7 linked regions of the Rattus norvegicus genome follow. The protein of the gene in region 5 binds, or shares a complex with, the protein of the main gene of each other region. Links are inferred from orthologs where the notes say so. Each region holds a gene or a part of one and is shown on either strand. Other genes may lie near its edges. The genes, in order: Daxx, Pias2, Ranbp2, Pml, Sumo1, Senp2 and Sae1.

Region 1 (4,274 bases), on a different chromosome or scaffold from region 5:
ACTCTTGTCTTGCATCATGGCATACTTGGAGATGACCTCATCCAGCCGGCTCATGGCCAAGGTTCGATTCTCCCGAAGGCGGCGAGCCAATGTGGGATCGGTGAGTGCGGGGTCAACGCCTGTGTGGGGAAACAGGGTCAGAGCAGTCAGTCCCAATCCTAGAAGGGATTAGAGCTGCCTCTGTTCCACCTGAAATCATCCCAGGAGCTTCCTACCTGGCCTATAGTCATCTGTGAGGTGGCAGCCAAAGTTATAGATGAGATCCAGGTGGCGGCGCTCCTGTAACCTGACACCCACATCCCGGAAGGCATCCTGAGCCAGGAGCTGAAGCTGCTGTCTGGGAAGGCCCAGACTGTGCCGGGTCGCCGCCTTCTCCACCGCTCTCAGCACATCTCCATAGTCCGGAAACGTGTCAGGCCCCGGCTTGTTGATGAGCCGCTCGATGCGCCTGTTGACCTCTGGGTATCGAGTGCCTCGGTAAGGAATTCGCTGCTCTATGACCCTCCCAGTCAGAGAAGAGCAGTCCTTCAACTCGCACAGCCGCCCAAAGAGGCGGATCAGTTTCCGCTTCAAGCGGGCCTCCTGCAAATAGGAGGAGTCGGGATCATCCAGTTCTGACAGATCCAACTCCTTTTCCTGCAGCCGCTGTATCTCTGCGACATACAGTGCCAGCAGCTGCTCCAAGCGCTGGATCTGCCTCCGGGAGCCTCGAGTCCTTGAGGCCTCAGAGGCAGTGGTTTCGGTGTTTGTAAGGTCAGACGGGGGATCTGTGGGAGGGTTATCACCCGATGATTCCGCTGAGGCTGCGGGAGCTAAGTTCAACTTCTTCTTGATGGAATGAGCTTTAAGGACAGTGCAGAGCTCGTTAATGTAGACGTAGAGCTTCGCTGGCCGGTTCCGAGACCGAGACAGAACCCTGGAGAGGATGTTGCGGAACTCTGCAGAGGCCAGAAAAGCGGACTGAGCACGCTGCTGCAGTTTGTGGAGGAACGGAACCACCTCAGGGTGGTCCGATGTCTGCATCTTACACAGTTCAAGGAACTAAACGGTTCGGGGGAAGGGACGGGAAAACCAAAAAACCAAAAAAAAAAAAAAAAGAGGGAATCAGTGAGGAAGCCAGAACAATCAGCCAATCAAACACCCCTTTCCTTGGGATCTGCCCAATCACATCATAATGGTTCACATCCTTTTCTTTTTTTCTTTTTTTTTTTTTTTGGTTCTTTTTTTCGGAGCTGGGGACCGAACCCAGGGCCTTGCGCTTCCTAGGCAAGCACTCTACCACTGAGCTAAATCCCCAACCCCCACATCCTTTTCTTAAAAAGATGTATTCTATATATGAGTACACTGTAGCTGTCTTCAGACGCCAGAAGAGGGCATCAGATCCCATTACAGATGGTTGTGAGCTACTATGTGGTTTCTGGGATTTGAACTCGATACCTCTAGAAGGGTAGTCAGTGCTCTTAACCACTGAGCTGTCTCTCCAGCCCAGTGATTCACATCTTGAATCCCAGCTGTCAGGAGGCAAAGGCAAGTAGAACTCTGTGAGTTCAAGGCCAGCCTCATCTAGACAGTTCCAGGCAACCAGGGCCACAAAGCGAGACCCTTCTCTTAAAGGAAAGGGAGCCTTCCCTGAAGCTTACCTCTTCAAACAGCTTCTCATTCTCCAACTTGTAGCACTTCCTGCTACCTGAGTTACTGCTCCCTCCATCCCCATGGGACTCAGAGGGACCAGAGGCTTCTGGTCCTGGTGAGACAGGATTAGAGGCTGGGTTGGAGGGTCCTGGCTGAGCAGCTGCTTCATCTTCATCATCATCGTCAAGCACAATGATGCTGTCATCGGTGGCCATGGGGGATCAAATCCCCCTGAGGGAAAAAGTATTTGAAAGGTCAGAATTCTGGAAGGGAAAGGGTGACTCAGGAAAAGCCCCTCCTCCTTAGTCCCACTCAGTCAGATACCTCAGGGTTCACAATAGCCTCGTCCTTTCTGAGATGTCTTCAAAGCCTGTCTTTTGCAACTATCAGTCTCAGGCAGTTCTGAAGGGGAACCTCCCCATCGATCGTCTCAAGTCCCAAATTTCAGCCCCCAGTCAATTTCCTGTCTTTCGGTTGCGTTTTCCCCACTCTCTTGTCAGCTGGTGAGTTTTTTCTTCCTACTCCCAATCCGATGGGGTATAAGATCCCACACTGCTCTCTCCGTCTACAGAAACCAACACCCAGTCGATACCACCACATGGGTTTGCCCACCTCTCGCCCTCCATCATCACAGTCCCCTCCGACTTCTTCCTAACTCCAACTCTTCCACTCCGAGGTTAAAGGGTTTCCCTCTGAAGAGCCTGGTGTCCTTCCCGCTCCTACAACCATCTCCATGTTCCACCTTCCACAAACCCGGACTTCAGGCTGGAGATTTTTCACCTCCAGTCCCCTCCCTCTCACCGCACCCAGGTTTTCCCCATTCTCTGTGACTCGTAACCGACAGCAAGCCCACCACTCAGCATTCCCAATGTCTGGGCTTCCAGCCCCAGGCGAGGACAGTCTCCAGCCTCAGCTTCCCGCCAAGTAACCCTCTCCGCGTTCAGCCCTAGGCCGCCACATTCCCCTTCAGGGCTAGCAAGGTACCATACAAGCTCGCCCCTCAGACTCCGCAGCCAGGCCGTGCGGATCCTTCGCCTTCGCCAACTCCTGCGCCGCCACCCCGGCTCCACGAACGACCTGGCCCCCACCTCAGAAACGGTCTCTCGAGGCTCCCCTCAGCGCGGATCACAAATCCTCGCAAAGTTCCCTCCGCCTTCCTTTCCCCCACCCCCACCTCAGGCCCTACAACAGACCGGAAGGCGCGGAGTTTCCGCCTGCAGCACCTGAGGGCGGCCATATTGCTGTACGGGACCTAGGCTTCTTGGGACCGGAAGTGACGCGTGGCCCGCCCACCTAGGCCGCCGCTCCGGGTGCACTGACACTCAGGGGGGCGGGGCCTGGGACCAGGTAGATGGGGCGCGCCACGTTGCCGTACGGCACCAGCCAGCTCCGCGAGGCGTGGAGCTCTTTGCACCAGGAGCTTGCCAAAGCCACTCGGCCAATCAGAAACTTCCTGCCCCAGACCTGCCCTCCCACCCCACGCCATCGGCTGGAGGGCGGGGAAGACCTTCCCATCCTTCCATCCGAGCAGGTACCTAAGGAGCTGGTGTGTCTATGGCTGTGTAGGGCTCCAGGGAAGGAAATAAAGGATTTTCTTTTCCTGTTGGTGTAAGCCTGGCACTCCCTACTTTGCTTTCCCTCCGACCAAGAGTTCCACCGCCTGGTTGCCTATGCTTGCCCTTCCCTTTAAGAGCCGGCGTGCACTTGGAGGCTGTCCAGCCCGGGCCTCCTGGGTCAGGTGCACACACACGCACACGCACATATGCATGCATACAAATGAGCACAGCATGCTGCCCGAGTGAGGTATTGTTATTATTGCGGTCCGCGAGACTGGATGCTCAATCTGCACCACAGACCGAGCTCCCTACTGGGAACCGTGGCCCCTGTTCCACCGAGGGTCGTCTTGACTGTATGGAAGGCAGTGCTTCCGGGCAGGGGTCTGCAGGGCGTTGAGGCGGAGCGCGGGATAACCTGGTGCGGGCTTGGTGAGAAGCCCTGCAAGCTGCCGCTGGGAGCGCTGGGAAACGAATCGAGGCTCATAAAATCACGCGGGGTGTCTTCCTTCTCCTGGAGAGCTGCGGAGAAAAGGAAGAGGGGAAAACAACTGTGTGATGCCGGCCGGGCCCGGGGTGGAGAGGCGAGGCCCTCAGGTGTGCTGACGAGGAAGCCTGATAAGTCAACACCCTTCGCGCGGAGACTGCATCAACGCGGTCTTCCTGCCTCAGGTGGCGGGCATCTTACCAATGTGCAGGACCAAGAAAAGCCCAGCTGCTCTCGGGGCTGGGGATTTAGCTCAGTGGTAGAGCACTTGCCTAGCAAGCACAAGGCCCTGGGTTCGGTCCTCAGCCCCCCCCCCCCCAAAAAAAGAAAGCCCAGCTGCTCTCAAGAGAACCCGAACTACAAATTTAAACCCACTTCTTCCTCGCTTCCCGTCCGGTCTTACGGCTTTCAATGGGGGCGGGGGGGGGTTTCCAGTGGCTAACGGGACTCTAAAGATAATGAAGGTTTTAATTTTCATATCCTTGGGTTTCTCAAAGTGGGTTTCCCAGAGTGAATGCCTGAAATGAAGGTTCCCCACCTTTTCACAATTATTTCGGTTTTATGTGTGTGCCGGTGTAAGTCTCTGCATGACATGAGTGCAG
Region 2 (3,500 bases), on a different chromosome or scaffold from region 5:
ATAGCTTTCTTAGTTCTTCAGGTCGATTAACAGGACTTTCTACTGATGCTTGGTCTCAAAATGAAAGCTAACAGTTTAGATATTGACTGAAGCAGAAAGTTTATATTGAATTCATTTTTTTATCCAGTAAATAAATGGAAATATTTGTGAATATCAACTGTCATAGTCCTATTTCATGGAAGTAAAACATAATCCTGTTTGAAATTGAGGTAGATGTTTATGGTAGGGTTTTTAGAATTTGTTTTGTTTTAGCCACAGGGATGATTTACATTTTTAAATGAATGGCTGTGGTCATTGTAGGCACCTTAGTTGTGTTGTAGAATAGAAATACTTTTTTCTTTTGTAATAAGGTCTGATCAGCAGACCTAAAATTTAGGCAGTGTTATTGGAATTTGGATACTTACAAGGCTGTCAGAGTATTTAGAAGTGTTTGATTCAGTGGCTGTTGAGCGGTCTCCATTGTGGAGTTGAGTGAGTGTGTGCAGTGGTCAGAGGCCGAGCAGTGCTGTCAGTGGTCAGCAGGGCCTCTAAAATACCTGAGTGTGGGCCTGGATATGGACACTCTCTGGCCTTTGTCTTTAGTTTTGTAATTTGTTTCTTGTGTTTTAGTTGTCCTTCTATTTAGGAAGTGGAATTAATTTTTATTGGATTTATTTTAGAAAAAAGAAGCTGGTATAGGTTTTATTTTATGATGTCATTTGCTCTAGGCCATGTAACATGTAGTCTCATCAGAAAGAATTAGAAGTTTGACACTCTAAACTTGAAGTGTTAATTTTAGAGCAGAGCCATTTGAACTTCATTTGTGCAGTGTGAACCATTTCCACATGAAACTAGAAAAGCAAGCATTGTTACATGAGTAACTAAAACCAGGGACTATTCTCACGGTGACTCCCAAGCTACTCACTTGACTAAATTAAAAAACATAATCCACAAAAGCACTTGTCCCCACTATTTACCATACAAATGGATGTTTTAAAATAACAAGTGGTTGAAAATGATTTCATATTGAGAAAACCATTTTCTTACTCACATGCTTAGTTGATGTTTCTGTCCCAGTTGCCAGCACTCCTTTGGAAGTTGTTTGAGTGTTACTTTCAGAGCCTAGGTTTCTTCCTTTTATATTTTCTGTAAGTAAATAAACCAACCAACCAAAACCCCATTATGTGATCTTTATAATGGCTTTTCTTTCTTTGTAGAATTACTCCATGTCTGTGTATCTTGTACGACAGCTTACATCAGCCATGTTATTACAGAGATTAAAAATGAAAGGTATTAGAAATCCTGATCATTCCAGAGCACTCAGTAAGTAATGTTTGTAAGACTAAGCATATGACACACTTTGGTGGAGGGAAATCCTTTGATATGTAGCAATACACGATAATTTTAATCACTTACACTTATTATATGTTTACCACATACATGCATATATGGGTACATATATACACATATACATATAATAGTTATGTATAGTTTAACATATTTTATAATGTATATATTATAATGTTATTAACATTTTACTGATATGCATTGCTGTTATATAATATTCATAATTATGTAACTATAAATAGCTGGGGCACATGACATATTTGTTACCCAGTGGAAGAAATCTTTGCCACATTGTTTTCAGTTGTTAGAGGAAAAAAAGAACGTATCTTTTCTGTTTATACATTTAATATCGTTGGAAACAACCAGGTCAGCCCAGTAAAACATAAGGAGAGTCAGGAGAAGTAACGTATTAGTGCGAGCTCACGGCCGCTCCACTCCATCTTCTCCTCCCAGCTGTTGTGTTAAATTCCAAAACAAACTTTTGTTTTTAATTTTTCTTTTTCAGTGGCTTTAGTGTTAAAAAGAAATCTTAAAAAATCCATTAAATATATGATATAGAGTTTGTTGATAATTCTTTAATAATGGGAATGTGGTTTATTACATTAATGTTTAACATTTTGTGCTTCTTTGCCTATTCAAAGGAGGGTAGGAACTTTTAAACTGTTTTCTGTAATTCTGTTCTAATATTACTGTTAACTTTAAAGTTATTAATACCATTTTGTTCTTTTTAAAGTTAAAGAAAAACTTACTGCAGATCCTGATAGTGAAATTGCTACAACTAGTCTTCGAGTGTCCTTGATGTGCCCTGTAAGTAAGCTTCTCGTAAGTGACTAAGTGTCTTGTAAGAGTAAGGGTGGGGGTGAGTGGAAGAGTATTGTGACGGAATTCTGAACCTCTGTCTCTTCCATTCAGATATCTTCATGAGTAAGTGTTAAGGGGTTTCCCTGTGTAACAGCTCTGGCTGTCCTGGATCTCCCTTTGTAGACAGCTTGGCCTCGAGCTCACAGAGATCTTCCTGTGTCTGACTCCTCAGTGCTGGAATTAAAGGCCAGCACACTGCACCCTCCTTGTTTTTTTGTGTATTTAATTATTCTGAAGAAAGAACGCACAGAGTTGTTACAGAAGAGCAGAAAGCCTTAGGGTCAGAAAAGTGTGGTAACTGATGCTATAAAGTAATGCAGTTAAGAGGCTTTATCAGAGCGCATGTGATACTGTACATAGCAGTGACATTACTGGAGCCTCAGATGGATGCTAATTGATAGTTTGGCCTAGTGAGTTATGATGTATGGGCTGTCTTTGCAGTATACTTTTAAATTACACAAAATTTTTATCTCATATATTCTTACGTAGAGACATGGGAGAGAAATCATTCCCAGATCTGATATCCTTCTGTGCGATGTGTGGTTGGCACTGAGCTAACTGAGAGAAAGCAGACAATCTAGTTAGAGAACACAACCCATGAAAAAGTGGCAGACTCTACCTAGTGACAGGTGTGGAGGGATGTCAGGGACAGTGGGTGGAAGCTTCCTTACGTTAGGTTCCTGGAAGAAAGGAACTTTATGCGGAAAGCTATGAATCATGAATTTCTAATGTAACTTTGGATGACATTTGATGATTGCCACCAATATAAAATGTGTTTTTTTTTTTAAATTGAGAGAAAGTAATATCAGGTGTGTGTGTGGTGGGGGGAGGGTTGGGAAAGAAAATATTTTTTGAGTCTCCATAATGTGTAAATGTTTCAACAAACCCTGAGTGAGGCATAGTTTTTATTTTGCAAATTAAGTAGCTGAGGTTGTATAACCCTAATCACAGGGCCACTAGTAGAACAGGAATAAAACTTTTCTTCTGATAATTTTGTTTCCAACAGTTGCTGCCAGATTGGGCTAAAATACCGATACACCGAGCTTTAGTAGACCTGCTGTTTAGCTATTTTATTTTATTTATTTATTATATATAAGTACACTGTGTGGCCTTTATTTAGTTATCTTTACGCAGCTTTTTTCCCCCCCAAAACATCATTAATTTTGTGCGTGTGCTTGGAGCTTGCCTCTTAGGCTAGTCTGTCTGGTCCGTGAGCCTAGGGATGTGCCTGCCCCCTGAGTCCCAGCACTGTTCACACGTGTACCACCACCACAACAGGGTTGGTTGGTTTCAACCTCTCCACCACATGTTGT
Region 3 (4,195 bases), on a different chromosome or scaffold from region 5:
AAAGAGCAAAAAAGACTAAAAATAATTAGGACTGGCAATGTGGCTTCAGTAAGTAAAGGTACCTGCCATTAATTCCATTCCTAGGCATCACATGGTAGAAGAGAACCAACTCCAGCAAACATCCACACATGTGAACCTAAACACACACACACACACACACACACACACACACACACACACACTTGCTCCCAAAATAAAATGCAGTAAGATAATAAATTCAAGTATCAAGCAAAGCATTGGTAAGAACACGGAGAAACTGAAGCCACAGAAGTTGATAGCAGGAATATAAGTACAGTCACTATAAAAGAGAGTCTGGGACTCCCCAGAAAATACTAATACACAGCCCAACAATTATTTCTCAGTGTAACTCAAGGGATTAAGAGCAAGCACTCAAATGTTTTTATATCAGTGTTCATTGCATTACACATTATTAGGCAAAAGATATAAACAACCTAAGTGTCAATCAACAATAAATGAATAACCAAAATGTGGCATACCTAAGATAATACAAACATAAAATATTGAGCCACTGAACAGGAATAAGAACATCACTCTCCACAAAGAAAGCAATGCAGTAGTAGCCCGTGCCTTTAATCCCAGCACTGGGGAAATGAAGGTGGGCGGCTCTCTTAGTTGGAACCAGCCAGGCCAAGTCTACAAAGTTAGTTCCATCTGGGTACACAGAGAAACCCCATCTCAAAAACTAATTAAAAAAATAAATAAATAAAAAGAATAAGACTCCCAACACCCTACAACATAAATGACCTTGAAAATATACTAAAAGGAGCACAGAACAAAAAAAAAAAAAAAAGAAAAAGAAAAAAAAAAGAGGCTGTGGCATTGTTTCTTAATGGTTACAGAACTTGTTTGGCATAATTTAAAAAAAAAAATACAAAACAAAATTGGAAATAAGGGTTATGACCGAACAACTCTGAATGTAAATGTCACAAAAGTGAACAATGAATGAAACTAGTTAAAACAACAAATTTCTTATAGTTGTCATACTATCCAAGTCAACCCACACTGACCAACCCATCCAACCTTACATAACATTTTAAAACATATCTTGGTATGGTACATATGTGGCAGCACACACCCTCAATCCCAGAAGAGGCGGGGGAATCTGTTTGAGACCTGCCTGGCCTACAGAGTGAGTTCCAGAACATAATAGAAACCCTGCCTCAAAACAAAAACAACTCCAAAGTCAGATTTGAATACACAGAGACCTTGAAATGGTTCCTAACCTAATTTGACAACTATTTACACATTTACATAGTATATTAGTTGAGTTTGCTTTATCTGAAATGCTTGGCATTTTTAGATTTCAGGGTCTTGTTTTTTTGGTGTTTGTTTTTAGATTTTTAAATATCTTCAAGCATGTTAGAGATCCTGGTGACAAGACCCAAGTCTAAATATAAACACATTTGTCTAATGTACACCTTATAGATAGAAATCTGGAAGCACTTTCATACGATAATTTTTGTACCCTGGCATTTTGACTTTGATCCATCAGAGGAAACTGGGTGTAAAATTTCCCACTTTGGCATACCTGCACTAAATGAACTTGAGATTTTTAAAATCGCTTTGGATTTGATTGGGGGAGGGGGATTATAGATTTATTAGACTGGATTATTTAGCCCATAGAAGCCATCTAAAGAAGAGCTTCAAAGTAGGTAACGAAAAAATTATGCCATTTTACAAAAGGGACACATGTATGTTCACGAACTTTGGTATATATAGATGACCATAAAACCCTCAGAGACAACTATTTCTCTGAACTTAAAAAATAATATACAACTGAATTGTGTGTTTGTATACACAAACTGAAGCTCTGAGTCATGAATCCTGGGTAACACTAACAAGATAAAAATTCCGTTTTATTGATGAAACGTCTATACTGTACCAAATTACTGTTTACAAATGGCAGAACTAAGATTGTTCAATCCCCCCTCCCCAAAAATTGATTCTAGATCCTTTGTACATCTCTCTCCACCGGCAAACACTCTTGAAAAACCGAAAATAAATACAACACATTAATGACCTTAAAAAAAATAAAAAAGGAAAGCTACAGAACATGTTACAAAATAACCCTAGAAATGTTGGGGCGTGTCAACTACTGCCTGGAAGAAATCCCTAACCTTCCGCCTTTAAATAAAAAAACTTAAAAAAAGAAAAGACTAGCAGCTTCCAAATGAGGTTTGGGGAAGTGGGGGGGATGTAAGGAGCGGGGCACAGCAATAGAAGACTCAAATTATGGGCCTTCCGTGTCATTTGTGCTGACGCGCCCTTACGAATGTGGCTGCTCTTGCTCTCCGCGGAGCCACCCACACAACCGTAAAAGCCCACCGCCGTGCGGCGTCAGCTTCTCCGGAGACACCGCCGCCGCGACAGGGCCTAGCTATCCCAGAGACCGAAGGTGCCTGCTGGACGTGTCTCGCAGAGCGCCCCACGCCGGCCTACGGAGCCGAGGCCGAGGAAGCTAGGCCTGAATGGGCCCGCGGACCGCCATGAAGAGCAAACGTTGGCGGCCGCAGTCCCGACGTCTCCGGTGCTCAGCAGCGCCACGCCGCCGCGACCGCCTACAGCCAGGCGGGAGCCGAGGCCGCCGGGAGCCATGACGCTGGCGCACAGTGCCAGCCTGGCCAGACTTGCTTACCTCTCGGGGCGACGGGGCGGAGCCCTGCACCGAGGCGATGTACCGCTCCACCTCGGCCTTGCTGCGCCTCATCGTGCCGCCGACCAGGCTCCCCGGGAGCGGCAGGCCAGCTCTGGGGCCTACAGCGGCTGCGGTCTCCAGGAGGTGAGCGCCGAACACCGGTGACGCAGCTCCGTCGCGAGCGGATAGGGACAGTGCGTGCGACGTGCGTCATCACTGTGCGCCTCGTTGCAGTCTGACGCGCCTGCTCGTTGTCACCCCAAACCGCCTGCCCTTGAGACCACGTGACCATGTCGCACACGATTGTGAAAAACTCCCTTCCCCAGAAAAATCTGTATATTTCACTATTGCTACGTCACAAAACGGACCCAAAATGGCAGTACTGCAGACAGGGCCATAAGAATCCGACCTTTTCGGGACTACATCTAGTCCACAGTTGATTTCCTTCTAAAGAGATAAACTTCATTATTGCCTCCGGTTTCCATAGAATAAAGGTGAATATTGGACAGTGATTTTCTACTTAAATAAACCAGAGTGGGAATATTAGCGTCACATGATGAGATGCACCTTCCCGGGGTAGTTGACGGTTAAGGGCAGAGAAGGGAAGTGGTGGCTTTTCTGACAAACAGAAAGAGGCTTCACCAGGTTTTGAGCAAGGATGATTTTAGGTTTCTGTATGCATAAGAATCGAGGCGGTCATTAGGACATTGTCAGCAGCATTGCCTTTTGGGGGCCTGTTTTGTGACTTAACAATGAGCAGAACAGATTATACTAGACTATTAAAATTAGTCTCTTCTTGCTAGAAAGATGGCTCGCAGTTAAGAGTTCTTGCAGCTGGGGGTTGGGGATTTAGCTCAGTGGTAGAGCGCTTGCCTAGCAAGCTCAACGCCCTGGGTTCGGTCCTCAGCTCCGGAAAAAAAAGGAAAGAAAAAAAAAAAAAAGAGTTCTTGCCGCTCCTCTGAAGAACCAAAATTCAGTTCTCAACCGCCTATTCCAAAGTATCTATCTAAATCCAGATTCTGACCTCCATAGCGCGCGTGCGCGCGCGCGCGCACACACACACACACACACACACACACACACACACACGTCCTCATGTACACACAAATCCTTTTTTTTTTTAAGTAAAAGATTGTGAATAAACTGTTGTAAATAACTCCTGAAAAGAATCTGTATCTGCAAATACTGATTAAAACCGCAGTGGAAAGGTTAGAGTGGCACAGTTCCAGATATCAAATACCTTACTGTCAGATCCAAAGAATACCCCATCCCATCCCCAAAAAAGGCTGCCCCGCTGACTCCAAAATTGAATCTAATTTAGACTCAACCTGGACTATGGAGGATTTCTGGCAGTTAGATAAAAGCCTGCATTCCTTAGGATCAGTGAAACTGGTTCCTATCTACCAAAAGGAGTCATTTCCCTTTCCCCTTGCAGAAATGACTTATAGATGTATGCTAGCCTCCAGGCTCCCCAATCTCCACTTAAAAGTACTCTTTAGACAATTCAAAGCCCCCTTGCCAGCATGCTGGCTCCTCGCT
Region 4 (4,230 bases), on a different chromosome or scaffold from region 5:
TGCATGTAGTCATTTTCAGATAGCACTCCCTGAGGCTGTAGTTTCAACTTTTCAAACACTATTTAACCTGCCCCTATCCAGCTTACTGAGATTCCTGGGGCCTCCAAAGGAAAAGTCTACTCTTTTTTTTTTTCTATTCTTTTTTTTGGAGCTGGGGACCGAACCCAGGGCCTTGCGCTTGCTAGGCAAGCGCTCTACCACTGAGCCAAATCCCCAACCCCAAAGTCTACTCTTAAGACATCTAAAGTTCGGTGGTGACAAATACTAAAATGTACTGTTTTTACACATCACATTTTTCCCCCAAGAGGGGCATTAGAAACGCCTACGAGCCAGCGGACCTCATTTTGAGTGACAGTTCCCTGAAGCTCCCCCCCACCCCCCACCCCCAGCTCCAGGATGCCTCACTTACTTAGTCTGCGCAGGAGTGCGGTGGTTGGTATTGGAGCAGAAGATGTTGGACTTGCGAGTACTGTCGAGGAATTCGCGCACTGAGTTGTCGCGGAGCTCGGCCAGGGGCCGGGCCTCGTGTTTGAGGTACCACTGGTGTGCATCAAAGCACTTGCCACACATGAGCTGTTCACACTCGAAACACCAGAAGTCAGCCAACTCTTTGCAGCGAGTGCACGCAGCCTGCGCATCCACAATCTGCCGGAACACCGCCAGGCGCCGCTGCAGGCTCTCGAAGAACACGTTATCCAGGGCCTCCGCATTAGCATTGGCCGACCCCGGTGCCTGGCAGATCGGGCATTGCAGGCCGGGCGCCTCCAGGCATCCGGAGCATAGCGTGTGCAGGCAAGGCAGCAGTTTGGGGCACTTGGCTTGGGTCTGGCAGCCCGGGCAGCGCAGAAACTGAAATTCCTCCTTTATGGCTTGCTGGTGAACCAAGGAGAGAGAAGTGAGGCCTACAGAAAGCCCCAAAGTCCTGTCCCCTCCACTGGCCACCCATTCCTTCAGCTGGAGGCTGGAGTAGGTAGGACCTCACATTCCATTCCTGGGAGTCACTGGATCCTGTCCTGGCTTATCGGCAGCCCAGTTCCTCATTTACTGAGGCCTTGCAGCTCTCGCCACACAATTTACTGGACTCCCATCTACTTATCCTCAGACTCACTAGTAGACACTGAGATACAAGACTGGATACATCTTTGCCTTTAAAGAACTCGAGTCTGGAAAAGTACCAACTTCATATAAAGTGCTTAACACAGTTGGTGGGATAGTCCTCAAAAAGTTAGACTTAAACCACCAGAACTTCTACTTTTCATATATACTCAAAAGAACTGGGAAAAATATCCAGGCATATAATTATATACTAATGTGCCTAGCTAGCAACACCACCACAAAAGTCACAGTGACCCAAGTGTCCATTAGCACAGGAATACGTGAACAACACGTGGCTGCAAATGTAACGAAATACTATTCAACCTTAAAAAGGAATGAAATTTTTGATACATTCAACAACCTGGATGAACCTTGAAGACATTGTGTTAAATGAAATATGCCTGCTATAAAATGAGAAATACTGTGTAATTCCAGTCATACTAAACAATAAGACTAGTTAGTTCATAGATACAAAAGGTAGAGCTGGTGTGTAAATGGTCCAAAGTTCTCAGTACAGTACTGGGCACATGAGAAGTACCCGTTAATGTTAACTAGTATTTTTAACCCTCAGTTATACAACGCTAATATAAAAAGTTATGGCAATGTGGCCTTATTTGTGCTTTTGTCAAGAGAAAAAGGAATGAAGAATAGCGGGATGGGGGTAGTTCCTTCAGGGGGGGTTGAGGCAATACTTCCGGGAGGACCATGAGCTAGGCTTCCTTAGGAAAAGACCCATGACCTTGGGGATGCATACATTAATCCCAGAGCTCAGAAAGCAGAGACAGGTGGTCTCTAGGAGTTTGAGGCCAACCTGGTTTACACAGTGAGCTCCAGCTAGGCCAAGACTACAAAGTGAGACCCTGTGTTCAAGACGATAAAATAAAATAAAAATCCCTAAACACCTCATACACATAAAATAAATGTATGGAGAGAGAGAGAGAGAGAGAGAGAGAGAGAGAGAGAGAGAGAGAGAGAGAGAGAGACTGACTCTGCATGGATCATGTTGGTTTTAGCAGGCACTTTGATCTGGACCAGGTTTTGTTCTGTTTTGTTTTGAAACAGGTCTTGCTGTGATGCCCTCGGCAGTCTTGAACTCTCTTTGTAGACTAGGCTGGCCTGTAACCTGTCATCCTCCTCCAACTCCCACATCCCAAGTTCTATTGCTCCTGGGATGTGCGACCACTGCTGAGAAACTGGAAGTGTTTGTGTGTGGGTCGGGGTGGGGGTGCTATAGTTAGTTCTGCCATGCCTGGGACATGCCTTTAGCTCCAGGCCATGGCAGAGATAGGAGATAAAGGGCAAGGCTTCAGGGAGTAGGAGTTGCAACCCAACTGTCCCCAGGGCTTCTGTAACTCATCCTGTTCCTATTTTATTCTACGCTATCAGTTCTATCCATGCCCAGTCAGGGGGTTCAGGACCCTGGTGTCTCTTTAGGACACTAACTCACTTTTCTATAATGACCTTCTCTGTTCTCAACTTCCCCACCAAAGTAAACGAATAAAAAACCCTAGCATCCCCTCATCTCCTAATCCAGTAGTACCTCCGCGGGGCTTTGGCTGTGTTCATGGTCTTCGGAGGGTTCCTCTGGGGGAGGCATGGTGGGCGTGGGGATCAGGGCAGGATCCAGTTGCTGACAGAGAGATCCAGAGGGTGCAGGCGCCTTCTGCGTAGAGCCTGGTTCAGTTTCGATTTCTGGATTGGGTCTGTGAGGGCGGGAAATGCGTCCCAGACTTGAGCCAGAAAAGTGAGCTGCGGGGAGGTGCCCGCGGAGGGCCCGCCTCCCGAGAGGAAGTGAGACAGGACTGGGCGGGTCTAGGGGCGGAGAGGCTCGTTCTGTAGTCTCCCTTCTAAAGTTAAGAGAAAGACTGCGAAGTTATGGAACAAACTCAGATAGAGCCAGAAAGGTTAACCAAACAAGCACGTAAACAAGCCCGGCAGGCTGGCACAGCTCTGTAGCAGAATGTTCGCGAGCTTGACTGCTCTACAAGTAAAGATCCTATCACGCACTCAGCATGCACACTAGGAGAGATGCAGAGCTGACTGCCTAACAGAGAGGCGTTTATTTCCCGGACTGGGAGCTATTCAACTCACCTCACAGTTCTGTGTCTTTCTAGTTAAAAGCCAGGTAGAGAAATAAACCCCCTCTTTGAGCGAGCCCCCAAGTGACCCTAAATGGAGACGTCGACCCAGTATTGGGATGGGTTTGCCTGGAAAGGCATCCCTCAGCTGAGAATGAAGCATGAGATAGAAAATCACCAGGGATTCAGGGTTGCACGGACACTCTAAAGAGAGGCACGCACCTGGAAAGGAGTGGAGGTCTAAAACAAGAGAGCCAGTTTGGGAAGTAGTTAGGACCATTTTCAGACTTGAGATGGGGCTCCTGTGATGATGTCAGAGAAGATTAGATTAATCATAAAATGAGAGATGAACCAGTTCTGTATATGATCAGAGAGTTGGTGAAGGGTTTGCTACAAAGTGTCAACTTTGTCTCTCGGATGACCTTGAGGCAGGTGGCCTATGAAAAGTGGTTGTGGGAGGCAGCCAGACCTGAGTCAGTGGAAGGACAGTGATGACAGAACAGGATGATGTGACGAATAGGTCTGGTGAATGTGCTCTGTATGGAGGTAGAGAAGTCAGGGAGGAGCTGGCCAGCAGCAGTGAAAAGAACAAGAAGATAGAAAGTTAGCTTTTTGGCCAATGAAAAGCAATTCAGAACCCAGTGAGTGAGGAAAGCACACAACTGCAGACACTCTCATTGGACAGTGCCTTTGGCTTCTGACTTCAGTCTGTTCCCACCCACTTTTCTGGCCCCTGTGTGCATCCACCCTACTCTCTGTTCTAACTGATTAGAAGGGATGGTGTAACTTAAGAGTTGGGGCGAGTTGGGTGCTAAAGGGAAACCCAGCATCCTGGAGACTATGAAAGGCCTTGAAAGTATGCCATACCTCCAAGCTGACCAGTATTCCTTGGCCTTTAAAATTAGGCCATCAAACTAAGATCAGCCAAATGTGGTGGGCAGTTGTTTCAGTCATATTGTGTACAAATATTTGTGGTTTTTCCCTTCAATTTTTTATTATGCGATGTGATATCTATTAAGAGAATTTCAATGATTATCATATTGAAGATTGAGATACT
Region 5 (3,950 bases):
TATAGAATGATCCTCATTCTTTGGGAAATCATGTACCAATGATGGGACCTATAGTACCTTCTTTTTAAAAAAACTGCATAATTCAGTGAATTCTCAAGGTTTAGGCATTAGATTGTGATCTATTTTAGATATAAAGATCCACTCATTTTAAACTGAAATTATGGCAAGACACAGTGGCATACACATACACCTGTAATCCCAGGACTCAGGAAAGTAAAAACAGAAGGATCACTGCCAGCCTAGATACACAGTGAGAGCATCTCAAAACAAAGAGAAAAGCTGAAACTATTACTCAATGTGACTATTTTAAGCACAAGATACAAGCTTCTAAGAGTTGCCTCAGAAAATAAAATGTGCATGGGTACTGGAGGGCATCTTGTATTCAAGTCAAGCACATTATCGAACCCCCCAACTTGAAAAAGTACCCTCTAAGGCCACCTTCTGAAGACAGCTCAGTCTCAGGCTGTTGCTATTACACACAGTACTTGGGGATTCCTACTCTCACTTATAAACCTCTTACAGGCAAGGATTCACTTAACCGTTTTCTCCAAATCTTTAACACTCAATACTGAACTTGTTCTGGGAACTAAGATTAATGTTATCCATCAGCCTAAAGCAACAGCTCCCAAATCCATTATCACACTCTCAATGATTTAAAAACCTATCAACCCAGCTGTCGTGGTGGTATACACTCTGGGAGGCAGAGGCAAGGCAAGGAAAATCTGAGGCCAATCTGATCTACATAGCAAGTTCCAGGACAACTAAGGCTACACAGAGAAACCCTTGACTTGAACTAAATAAACCCCTAAAATGTTAGATACATTTTTATTACTTTTTTTAAAGACAAAAATTTTAAGAGTAGCAGCACTATTTCCTATGCAAATTGCTTTAATGTGTAGCTCAATTTAAAAAAAAAGACTTGTTTTGCCAACTGTGGTGGTAGACATCTTTAATCCCAGCACTCAGGAAACAGACACAGGAGAAACTGAGTTCCAGGCCAGGAAAAGCTACATAGTTAAGACCCTGCCTCAAAAAAAAAGATTTGTTCTACTTTTTTGTCATGTTTCTAAAATTTTCATTGAACATCCATGATAGAATGAGAAACACACACACACACACACACACACACACACACACCAAGTGTGGCAGCATAACTCTGTAATCCCAGCTACTCTGCAAGGCTGAGGGAGTCCAAGTTCAAAGACAAGTGTGTTACAGTCCAACCTAGACAACTTAATGAAATGAAGTAAAAGGAGAAATGAGGGTTTAGTGCCTGCCTGGCAAGCACATGTGGGAGGCCCTAGGTCCAGCACCCAAAGACCCCAAGTGAGGTGAGAGAGTCCTAAGCAAGCATAGAGTGACTTTGCAGACTCCCTGAAACCTTGTGTCCTAGGGTCCTCTTTTCTTTCTTCATATCCTCACATAATGTAAGTTCAAACTAGAGCAAAACTAATCCTAAAACTTAAAACTCTTTCTGTATGTTGCCCTCTCATCTGGCTAACATGCTTTAAAAATAGAAGTCTGATGAAGCATAAGCGTTTACACAGCTGATCTCTCCTCTCTGGTAACTAAGTAAACAACTGTCATAAACAAATTATGGGCTTCATAAAGTCATTTCTAGCCCAAAAGATTAATAATCCAGATTATTAATAAGTAAATCCATCCCACAACTAATTTACAGTGTAGATAGGCTATAAAAATAGAACCACTATGGCCAGTCTGGGGTGGTTGCAAGCCTTTCATCCTCAGGAAACAGACAGGCGGATCTCTATAAACTGGAGGCCAGCCTCGTCTACAGAGGGAGTTCCAGGACAACCAGGCTACACAGAAAACCAACGTCTCAAAAAAAAAAAAAAAAAAAAAACCAACAAAAAAAATTTTAAAAAAGCTCAACTACAATGTAAAGTAGAATGAAAAAAGTTTGCTGAATTGTAACTAAAGAAGTAAAAATTAAAAAAAAAAAAAATACTCTGAAAATTAAGTCATCTGACCAAACAAAAGGAAAGCCAGACAAAAACCGTATGGATGGCATGTTGGTGGTGGCACTCTACGCAGTTTGTTGTTTCTCGGTTATTCTGAGCGCTCCTACAACTGGAGAGTTGATGGACCAATCCCGAGTAAGAAATGGAAAGTACAGAGAAAGAGTCGACCGCTCCGCACCCCCGGATGGAAAAATGACTCTGAAGTGGGCAAAGACGGACTGACCCTCCAGGCAAACACAACTGAAAAGCAGCGTCTCCTGGGTTCCCAGTCACCCCAAACAAGGATCCCTGCCCGCCCCCCACTCTCCGGGACCAAGAACCCAAAGTAGAATCGAGCTGCTTTTCAGGGCCACCTAGCCTCCCAGGCAGGGATTCTCTCCCGTTACATAACTGGGCCTAGGGCCTTGTTTCTGCCATCGGTCCTCTGAAAGGGAAACGGTCGTTTTCCCCCAGGTTGCTCTCACGGACAAGGGAGCGGGCCTGGGCCCCCAGCGAGCCCGAGAGAAACCTGGGAGCAGTCGAAAGAGACCCGGCGCTGGATGGCGTGGGGGTAGAGGCCTCCGAAAGGGCCGCGGAGGGTGCGTAAAACCCGGAGACCCTCGATCCCAGGCGGCTCGGCCCGACTCTGCCAGGCGCTCGGCGTCCCTCGCGGCCCCCTCCCCACCGGCAGCCCCCTCCCCCAACATCACCCCCTCCCCCCGCGCCCCATTCCAGGGGCTCAGCCAGCAGCCGACGGCCCTGAGCCCCAAGGCCGTGGCCCGGTACCTGGTCAGACATGGTGTCGGTGGATTCACCCGGGGGTCTCCGCACCACAGCGGCCTCCGGCAGGCAGAACCGCACTCTGAGGTTTACAAATCCGTCTCTTCTCCACAGCACAACACCGCGGCTGCAGGGACTTCCGCTACGTCTTGCGTCACTTCCGCAGCGCGCAGAGGAGAGTTTGGGAAGACGGGAAAGGGAAGCGGGAAAACGCCTTAGGGAATGCGGGAGATGAAATCGTCAAGGTTAAGCTACTTTCCTGGAGCAAGAGAACCGCTAGGTCTTCAGCGGGGCCGGGAAAACCGGCCCGCTGCCTCAGGCCTTAGGGAGACCAGCGCTTTGCCTGCAGGCTGTGTGTGTTTGGGGTCAAACTGACCGCTTAGGCTCCTCCCTGTTGGACATCTTGTACGCTTCTGAGGCCGGAACCAACTCTTCCTGAATATAGTGAATTCCCTGTATAATATCTTTATGGCCCCCTCTTGCTTGCTGCTGCCACATTCATGACTTTGATTACTAGAAATACAATAGTAACAAGTTTTCATTTTCTACAAGAGAGAAAGTGAAAGCGATTTGGAAGCCACTAGCATGTCAGAGTGAATGAAGTTAACCACAACGAGCTGAGTTATGGTGGCGTACTCCGAGTGATAGAGGCAAGCAGATCTCTGTGAGTTTGAGGCCATCTTGGTCTACAAAGTGAGTTCCGGGACAGCCAAGGCTACATGGAAGAACCCTGTGGGAGTCTAGGGGTGGGGCATGAAGAAACAACCCTTCCGGTCACATCTTTGGTTTTGTTTTGTGTTTTGAGGCAGGGTCTCACTAAGTAGCTCTGGCTATTATAGAACATTGCTAAGTCAACCAGACTGGCCTCCTCTTGCCTCTGCCTCCCCAGTGCTGAGATTAAAGACCTGGGCCACCACATCTCCAGCTCTAGAACAAAGTCTTGGTGGCTATAGATGACCAAAATGCTATTGAAAGTTGAAGTTGCAAGAGCTCCCTCCAGCTCATAAACTAGTTGCCTTACATCATAGACCTAAACATCTTCCTTTGAATACAGTGACCCTCTTGCACAAACATTCAGGGAAGATTAAGGTTATACTAAGTAAAGGGGGGAAAAATGAAAACTAAAGTAAGTCAAAAACCTTCACAGTACAAGACATTAATAAAATAATCTTTTCTGTAATTAGTAATGAGCCGATTATAAGTGGCCCA
Region 6 (3,500 bases), on a different chromosome or scaffold from region 5:
GCCCATTCTTGATTTTAATCAATAAGCCTTGATCTGAAGTCACGTTTGGAATCATGCTTGTAACAGGAAATACAGCGGTCAGCTCAGACAAAGATTATAAAGGAGAGCTCCAGGTTAAACATCCTTCCTGTAAAAACCGCAGTTTACCTCAGGGATGTTCAACTGCTGGGCTCCATGCAGACATCCCTAAAATCTAAAAACTCTGAAACCAAAGGCATTTCTAGTCCTAGGAATTTAAGATAAAGTTTGTAATATTTTTATGGACAGTAACGAGATTATGCCTTTATTTCACCCCGATCCAAACTGGTGCTTTCCTTTCATATTCTTAATACTTAGGGGATATGGCTGTAAAGACAGGCAAGCAAGAATATCCTGAGCAGCTCACCCAGCTTCAGCATGCTGCTGCAGGATCCAGAAGTCGTCAGTTCACAGGAGGGAGAGTTCGAGAACACCTAGAATAAAAGTCACTTCTAAAGTTGCAATTAAGCACTAACATAAAAGTTCACTAAACTCACGTCACTTTCAAGCTGGCACACAGAAATGATGCCATTCAGGTAAAAAGTCACAGGACAATGTTAAAAGATAGTTACAGATTTCTCACAAATACTTAAATAAGAAAACAAAGACCAAATTTCCCTTTCCAAGGGAGAAGCTGTGCGGCACAGGCTGACCTCACCCTCACTTCCTTGTTGAGGCTTGGTCTTGCTGTCTATTATAGTGCTGAGTGCAGCCCCCAGGACTTGGAGTCTGTATGCAGACCTTTGACTCTGCCCCCAAGTTATTTCTGATTGGTAAATAAAGGTGCAACAGTCAGTAGCTGGGCAGAAGAAATAAAGGTGGGGCTTAGGTTTCTTAGAGAAGAGAAGCCACCATAGGTTAGGTGAACCATATAAACTTGGCCCTGAGGGCTGGCCAATTAGAGTTAAGAGCAGCCCAGATGAAACAAAGTAATAACTACGGGTCATCTATAGGAAAGTAGATTCTAATAGCATAGAGGGTAGGTATTTTCCCAGCTCTTGTGCTGTTTAAGGCTTATTGTAAATAAAAAGGTTATGTGTGTCTTTTATCTGGGAACTAAATGGTCATAGGCGAGGTAAAAACCCTGGGTCAGGGTTAAAAAATTATTACAACACTCCACTCTGTTCTTTTTTTGTTTTTAGGACAGTGTCTGACTGTAGCCCAGGTTGGCTTGGAACTCACTATGTAGCCAAGCGAGTCTCAATTTCATAATGGTTCTTCTTCTTCTGCCTCTACCTGCTAAGGATTACGAGCATTAGCCACTGCACCTGGCTTTGCTTTCCCTTTTGGCTTTTAAGTGAGGGTGTCACTAGGCTGTCATAATGGTCTTGAAGGTCGAATCTACCTTAGCTCTTCTGCAGCTGCCTTCTGGACACTAGAATCACAAGAGCATGCCACCAAGCTGAGTTATCTAACACTGTTTAAAACTGTTATTGCATTCTCCTCCCCCTTTTCTGTGCACAAATGTGTGCATGCACATGTGTTTTGGTGCATGTCTGGAGGATAGAGGACATCCAGCAGGAATTAATTCTCTCTCTCTACAATGTGGGTCCTGGGGACTAAACTCAGTTCATCAGGCTTAACAGCTCTTTACTCACTGAGCCACCTTGCGGGCTCCAAAATATTCTTCATAAATATTTTTAAAGTATTTAAATTATTAACCTTTAATTTTTTTACTTTCATATTAAAGTTAATAAATGCATGATCATTTCTGGAATAAATCAATATATATGTTAATCCCCCAAAAGACTATGAGAATTTTTTAAAATTTTATTTTACTAATGTTTAGTTTTTTAAAACTAAGGACAAATATCACAGTGTGAAGGGCTGGAGATAACAACTCAGCAGTCGGCCCATGCTTAAGAGCCACAAGACTCATGCCAAGTACAGCTTTAATCCCAGCACTCAGAACATAGAGGCAGGTGTATCTCTAAGGTTCGAGGCCAGCCTGGTCTACAAAGGTCAGCCTGGTCTACAAAGGCCAGCCTGGTCTACAGAGTGAGACTATGTAAAGAGACCAGGTCTCAAAAAATCAAACAAAACACAACAACAACATAAACCCAAGCCACCAAAGCCACAAAAAAGATATAGAAGGCTTGGGGGCTCCATCTCCATAATAAATAAATACATACATACATAACTACATAAATAAATGAATACAGTTAATTTAAAAACAAAACAACAACAAAAACCACAAACAAATGAAAGCCCCAAAAAAATCAAAAAGGGAAAGAAAAGAGATCAGTACCCAAGTCCCAGTCCCACTGACCTCTCCTGAAGGGGCCACATTCCGTGTTCCATTACAAGCAGAAGACACCATGGGTTTGGTGGTCAGCTGGAATGGGAATCCAAATAAGCTGGCCGCATTGTAGAGACTGTTCTTCACTTGGTGAATGAAGCAATCTAGAAAGCACCAACCAGCTATAAACATAGCACTAAACTTTCAGAAAAAGCTAAGTTTTCAAAAGAATCTTAGTTCTTAATAAAGTCTTACTTCTGAACACCAAAATTAAAATGTACCTATAAAAATGTTCTTGGGCCATCGAGATGTTAATGTGTGGCAGTTTTGCTGCTCAAGCCTGGCAATGCTAGTCTGACCTCCAGAACCCATGAGAAGATGGAGAGAAGTGACTCCACGGGCAAGTCCCAGTACAACCCACTCACACATGTGCATCATGCACACACTAACAAGTACTTTTTCCGACTGATAAAAGGAATTCTAGTGTGTGAGCTTGTGTTAGTCAACTACCCGAGCTGCTACCAGAGCATTCAACCATTACTGTGGTAAACCACAGACTGGCTCCCCAAGAAGGATGTGAAATAGCCGCTTTTGAGGAGTGCATTTTGTAGAGTTCATATAGGGAAGCTTCTCCATGAATCTTCACTGGCTAAGTGAGCACTCACAGTGGGCATGGGGTCCCACAGGGAGCACTAACACTCACTCACTGATCTGCCCATCCGTCCCAGCCAGGTAACAACGATTGCCTTAAACAACCATCCTCCAAGCCCTGACAAATCTTGGCTGACTGAGGATTAGACACACAGGTCTTACGCATCTGTGACGAGGAGAAACTATCCCTCTATGGAACTAGATGCATCGACCCTCTCAAGCCCACTTCTTCCTGGCACCAAGGATTACAAAACAGAAATAAACAAATGGGGTGTGTGTGCCTCAGTGCTCTTCTGCCTTCCTCTTTCATCATACTACCTCTTCTCACTTCCGGCACATCTATGCTGCCTACAGTTTCTTCGTCACTAACTGAACATTAGTCGATGGGCCTCCTACGAGGTGGCCTCCTTTCTTTTCTTTACCTCTGCTTTTTCTTCTCCCCTGAAGCTACCTAGAGTTTATCTACTGTAGAAGCCAGTAGTCAGGTGTGCTTCCCTACTGATTACTTTTATATCAGTGAAAATTAAAGTTCAGTTCTTTATGGAGGGACAATGGCTCCCACCTGTACTCCAAGAACTTGGGAGGCCGAGGA
Region 7 (3,500 bases), on a different chromosome or scaffold from region 5:
GGGTTCGGTCCCCAGCTCCGAAAAAAAGAAGAAAGAAAGAAAAAAAAAGAAGTGCTGGGATTTTAGCTATGCACCCCAGCACCTGACAGCCACTGGGCGTACTAAAGACTTTAACGCTTAAGTAAGCACTCACCGATTGTGGAAGTCATTTTGAAAAAGAGCCCCTGGTGTTTGTTCTCCAGGTGCTTTGTTTTTTTGTCTTATTTTTCTTTGTAGAAATCAAAACAATTCCCCTACCTGTTTTTGTTGTGCTCAGGTTGGCCTAACTATGTGGCATAGCATGACTCTACCCCCGATCCTGTCTCTGCCTCTCCAGTGCTGCAATTACAGGTGTGCACCCACAACTTCTTGTGCCTCCATGTATTTTGCTTCTGTGCTCCAGATTAAATAATGCTCCTCTTACTGAGCTGGGGGTTATACTTCATTAGTAAAGCACTTGCCTGCTCTGGCAGGAGCCCCTGAGTTCAGTCCACAAACCATAATAATTATACTGCCTTTTCAGCACCTCTTTGGTTACTATACTAGTCTGAGTGCGCGTGCACACGGTTTCTAGTGCCTACCTCGTGCTGTGCCCCTCATTTCACACTTCACATTGGTCCTTTCTGCATCACGTTGCACCTCTTTGTTTTTGCTGTCTCTGAAAGCGGTCAAGCCAGGCAACCCCTTCTTTCCTTTTGCTTTTTTCTTTTCCTTTTTTTTCTGAAACATGTTTTTGTGTGTATAACAGCCCAGGCTGTCCTGGAACTCGCTTTGTAGACCAGGCTGGCCTAGAATTCACAGAGATCTGCCTGCCTCTGCCTCCTGAGTGCTGGGACTAAAGGTGCCCACCCCACCCAGCTTCAGGTGTCCCTTCCTGAGCTCGTGTGCTTACAGGTTTAGGTTTCTATAGTGGAATGCTTTCTTTCCCGCTATCTGTATGTTGGCTGCTTGTTTATTTCGTTTTGATTGAAAAGCTCCTTCTCTGGGTTTCTTTTTGTTGTTGAGATAAGATCTTTGTGATCTAGTCTGGATGTGAACTTCCTGAGATCCCTCTTGTCTCAGCTTCCCAGCCGCTCAGATTACAGATACACTCCTTCAGAAAGGTTTTATCATTACCACTGGTCTGTTTAAAATTGCGTCTTCCTTTGTCCTCTTTTTAGACGTTTATTTTGTATTTCTGGGGATCCATGCAGGACCTCATACGTGCAAGGCTGAGCTATAACCCCAGCAGCATCATCTAGTCTTATTTTTTTTTTTGTTTTGTTTGGTTTTTTTTGTTTTTGTTTTTCTTTCTTCTTTTTTTCGGAGCTGGGGACCGAACCCAGGGCCTTGCGCTTGCTAGGCAAGCGCTCTACCACTGAGCTAAATCCCCAACCCCTAGTCTTATGTTTAAAGAGCTGCTTTCTTTACTGCTCTGTACATTGTGGAGAAGATGCATGGTACCTGCTCAATAAAGAAGTAATTTTCTGTGCAGAATTGTTTGGGACCTGTTTTCTAGATCTGAAGGTTCAGTGGTGGTTTTGTGGTACATATAGTGAAAATTAAGTTTACTTTTTCTATTGTTCTATGATTGAACAAGTCCCACTGTTTGGGGTCATCGGATTAATAACATAGCATGTGTTTCACAGGCTTCGAGCTTCTCGGGTACTGATTGTCGGCATGAAAGGACTTGGGGCTGAAATCGCCAAGAACCTTATCCTGGCAGGAGTGAAAGGGCTCACCATGCTGGACCATGAACAGGTAGGTACCATCTGGTTGCCTGGTCTCCAAGAGGCAGTGCTGTGTGTGAGTGCTGCTGGGCAAATCCGGTTCAGTGACCTGTAGGTGGGAGACTGAGGCGGGATGGAGGCTTATGCACGTATGTAGCCTTCAGCACCTGAGCTGCTGATTCAGAAGAAGGTCTGGAGTGGTTCAGGAATGAGAACATACAACAGACACCTCAGGTCAGTGTGATGGCACTTGCCTGTAATCCCAACACTCAGGAGACTGAGGCAGGATTATAAATTCAAGCCTAGCTTTTGTTACATAATGAGGCTCCTAAAGAAGTCACAATGGGGCTGGAGAGTTCTTTCAAAGTACAAATCCCTACGTTCACATTGCAGCTCAGAACTGTCCGTAACTGCAGGATCTGACATTCTCACATTCATACATGCCGGCAAAACACCAATGCACACAAAACACCAATGCACACAAAATAAAGGTATATAAACAAACAAAAATAGTCAAAATAATCTTGTACGTGAAACTCACCAATGTTACTTTGAAAAATGTTGAATCAGAGAGAAGGTATATAGAATGCATATACAGAGAATGGTGAGCGTCCAGTATTAAACTGTACATCATATGGAGATAGCACAGCAGTGCCCGGTTCACATGCAGCTTTCTCTGGCTTGTCTCTTCTTCGGGGTTGGAAGTGTGTGTTTATACACTTCCAAGCCTCACTGACATGTAAGTTTTCTAACGATTTTTTGCTGATTTGCTTGCATCTTGGTCTTTTGAGGCAGGGTCTCACTGTAGTTCAGGCTGCCGTGGGACTTGGAGTGTAGCCTCAAGCCTATGAGACCTTGCCTCAAAAAACTAGGACTTGGGGTTGGGGATTTAGCTCAGTGGTAGAGCGCTTGCCTAGCGAGCGCAAGGCCCTGGGTTCGGTCCCCAGCTCCGAAAAAAAGAAAAAAGAAAAAAAAAAAAACAAAAAAAACTAGGACTTTCTACTGTGATATGAAGAAAGCTGACTTTTGTTTGTTGGTTAGTCTGTTTTGTGACAGAGTTTCTCTGTAGTTCTTGACTGCCCTGGCACTCGCTGTGTAGCCCAATCTGGTCACTGAGATGTACCTGCGTCCACCTCCCGAGTGCTGTGATTGAAGGCAAGCATATGCGCCTCCATGCCAGGCAGGCTCCACTATGTAGGGATTGGCTGGGAGCCTGTGTAGACCAAGCTGACCTCAAACTCATGGAGATCAGCCTGTCCTCTGCCTCCATAGTGCTGAGATGAAGGGACGTGCCATAGGTTCTGACTTTTTTATTGCCATTGAGGTAGGATTTTGGTTAGCTCTAGCTGACTATGTGACTTTCAACTCTGATCTTGCCTCTGTCTCCCCAGTGTTTTTTTTTTTCTTTTTTTTTTTTTTTTTTCTTTTTTTCGGAGCTGGGGACCAAACCCAGGGCCTTGAGCTTGCTAGGCAAGCTCTCTACCACTGAGCCAAATCCCCAACCCTTCCCCAGTGTTCTTACAGGCATGAGTCACCACACTTATTTATGAAGTGTGGGTGGTCAGACCTAGGGCTTCATTACTTCTTAGATATTATTGCCAACTACACTATATTCCCATTAAAAGTTGATTAAGTTAAACCTAAGAGGAAAGTGGTATGGTGATACATACCTGTAACCCCAGCACTCACAAATCAGAGGTAGGATTGCTGCAAGTCTGAATTCATCCTGGGCTACATATCAAAGCTCTCATACAGCAAACATTTAAAAAAGAAAGAGAATCTAAGGAAATACATATCTGTGAGCAAACAGGA

The links.
Region 1: the proteins of Sumo1 (region 5) and Daxx are in contact, whole or in part, in an NMR structure (PDB 2KQS), measured with the Homo sapiens proteins. The link is inferred for Rattus norvegicus from reciprocal best matches to the Homo sapiens genes SUMO1 and DAXX. Residues at the interface, in NP_001005781.1 of Homo sapiens: Lys17, Glu18, Tyr21, Ser32, Ile34, Phe36, Lys37, Val38, Lys39, Thr41, Thr42, His43, Lys46, Leu47, Ser50, Tyr51, Arg54, Gln55; in NP_001135441.1 of Homo sapiens: Glu731, Glu732, Ile733, Ile734, Val735, Leu736, Asp738, Ser739, Asp740.
Region 2: the proteins of Sumo1 (region 5) and Pias2 are in contact, whole or in part, in an NMR structure (PDB 2ASQ), measured with the Homo sapiens proteins. The link is inferred for Rattus norvegicus from reciprocal best matches to the Homo sapiens genes SUMO1 and PIAS2. Residues at the interface, in NP_001005781.1 of Homo sapiens: Tyr21, Lys23, Val26, Glu33, Ile34, His35, Phe36, Lys37, Val38, Lys39, Thr42, Lys46, Leu47, Ser50, Tyr51, Gln53, Arg54; in NP_004662.2 of Homo sapiens: Lys466, Val467, Asp468, Val469, Ile470, Asp471, Leu472, Thr473, Ile474, Glu475, Asp479.
Region 3: the proteins of Sumo1 (region 5) and Ranbp2 are in contact, whole or in part, in a crystal structure (PDB 1Z5S), measured with the Homo sapiens proteins. The link is inferred for Rattus norvegicus from reciprocal best matches to the Homo sapiens genes SUMO1 and RANBP2. Residues at the interface, in NP_001005781.1 of Homo sapiens: Asp30, Ser31, Ser32, Glu33, Ile34, His35, Phe36, Lys37, Val38, Lys39, Thr41, Thr42, His43, Lys46, Leu47, Ser50, Arg54; in NP_006258.3 of Homo sapiens: Asp2631, Val2632, Leu2633, Ile2634, Val2635, Tyr2636, Glu2637, Leu2638, Pro2654, Thr2656, Cys2659.
Region 4: the proteins of Sumo1 (region 5) and Pml are in contact, whole or in part, in a crystal structure (PDB 8DJI), measured with the Homo sapiens proteins. The link is inferred for Rattus norvegicus from reciprocal best matches to the Homo sapiens genes SUMO1 and PML. Residues at the interface, in NP_001005781.1 of Homo sapiens: Gly19, Glu20, Tyr21, Ile22, Lys23, Ser32, Glu33, Ile34, His35, Phe36, Lys37, Val38, Lys39, Thr42, Lys46, Leu47, Ser50, Arg54, Glu84; in NP_150241.2 of Homo sapiens: Glu554, Arg555, Val556, Val557, Val558, Ile559, Ser560, Ser570, Ser571, Ser572, Arg573.
Region 6: the proteins of Sumo1 (region 5) and Senp2 are in contact, whole or in part, in a crystal structure (PDB 1TGZ), measured with the Homo sapiens proteins. The link is inferred for Rattus norvegicus from reciprocal best matches to the Homo sapiens genes SUMO1 and SENP2. Residues at the interface, in NP_001005781.1 of Homo sapiens: Asn60, Arg63, Leu65, Glu67, Gly68, Gln69, Arg70, Ala72, His75, Glu89, Tyr91, Gln92, Glu93, Gln94, Thr95, Gly96, Gly97; in NP_067640.2 of Homo sapiens: Asp386, Lys394, Leu395, Arg396, Trp410, Leu411, Asn412, Asp413, Glu414, Thr440, Phe441, Pro444, Lys445, Arg456, Trp457, His474, Val477, His478, Trp479, Met497, Gln542, Gly545, Ser546, Asp547, Cys548, Gly549.
Region 7: the proteins of Sumo1 (region 5) and Sae1 are in contact, whole or in part, in a crystal structure (PDB 3KYD), measured with the Homo sapiens proteins. The link is inferred for Rattus norvegicus from reciprocal best matches to the Homo sapiens genes SUMO1 and SAE1. Residues at the interface, in NP_001005781.1 of Homo sapiens: Asp30, Ser31, Ser32, Glu33, Ile34, His35; in NP_005491.1 of Homo sapiens: Thr179, Lys180, Val181, Ala182, Lys183.

The regions. Positions count from the first base shown.
Region 1 is NC_086038.1:4,974,921-4,979,194, forward strand, and holds the start of Daxx (death domain-associated protein 6), read right to left. Parts: upstream 2,801-4,274; 5' UTR 2,721-2,800; exon of another isoform or gene 2,617-2,720; intron 2,198-2,616; exon of another isoform or gene 1,957-2,197; intron 1,864-1,956; 5' UTR 1,848-1,863; coding exon 1,641-1,847; intron 1,042-1,640; coding exon 216-1,041; intron 120-215; coding exon 1-119. UniProt on the Homo sapiens protein: Transcription corepressor known to repress transcriptional potential of several sumoylated transcription factors. Down-regulates basal and activated transcription.
Region 2 is NC_086036.1:72,953,707-72,957,206, forward strand, and holds part of Pias2 (E3 SUMO-protein ligase PIAS2), read left to right. Parts: intron 1-1,196; coding exon 1,197-1,302; intron 1,303-2,059; coding exon 2,060-2,133; intron 2,134-3,500. UniProt on the Homo sapiens protein: Functions as an E3-type small ubiquitin-like modifier (SUMO) ligase, stabilizing the interaction between UBE2I and the substrate, and as a SUMO-tethering factor.
Region 3 is NC_086038.1:26,983,919-26,988,113, reverse strand, and holds the start of Ranbp2 (E3 SUMO-protein ligase RanBP2), read right to left. Parts: upstream 2,801-4,195; 5' UTR 2,729-2,800; coding exon 2,657-2,728; intron 1-2,656. UniProt on the Homo sapiens protein: E3 SUMO-protein ligase which facilitates SUMO1 and SUMO2 conjugation by UBE2I. Involved in transport factor (Ran-GTP, karyopherin)-mediated protein import via the F-G repeat-containing domain which acts as a docking site for substrates.
Region 4 is NC_086026.1:67,552,089-67,556,318, forward strand, and holds the start of Pml (PML nuclear body scaffold), read right to left. Parts: upstream 2,801-4,230; 5' UTR 2,693-2,800; coding exon 2,636-2,692; intron 874-2,635; coding exon 410-873; intron 1-409.
Region 5 is NC_086027.1:68,600,004-68,603,953, forward strand, and holds the start of Sumo1 (small ubiquitin-related modifier 1), read right to left. Parts: upstream 2,801-3,950; 5' UTR 2,760-2,800; coding exon 2,748-2,759; intron 1-2,747. UniProt on the Homo sapiens protein: Ubiquitin-like protein that can be covalently attached to proteins as a monomer or a lysine-linked polymer.
Region 6 is NC_086029.1:92,516,141-92,519,640, forward strand, and holds part of Senp2 (sentrin-specific protease 2), read right to left. Parts: intron 2,422-3,500; coding exon 2,288-2,421; intron 453-2,287; coding exon 386-452; intron 1-385. UniProt on the Homo sapiens protein: Protease that catalyzes two essential functions in the SUMO pathway.
Region 7 is NC_086019.1:86,205,090-86,208,589, reverse strand, and holds part of Sae1 (SUMO-activating enzyme subunit 1), read left to right. Parts: intron 1-1,607; coding exon 1,608-1,719; intron 1,720-3,500. UniProt on the Homo sapiens protein: The heterodimer acts as an E1 ligase for SUMO1, SUMO2, SUMO3, and probably SUMO4. It mediates ATP-dependent activation of SUMO proteins followed by formation of a thioester bond between a SUMO protein and a conserved active site cysteine residue on UBA2/SAE2.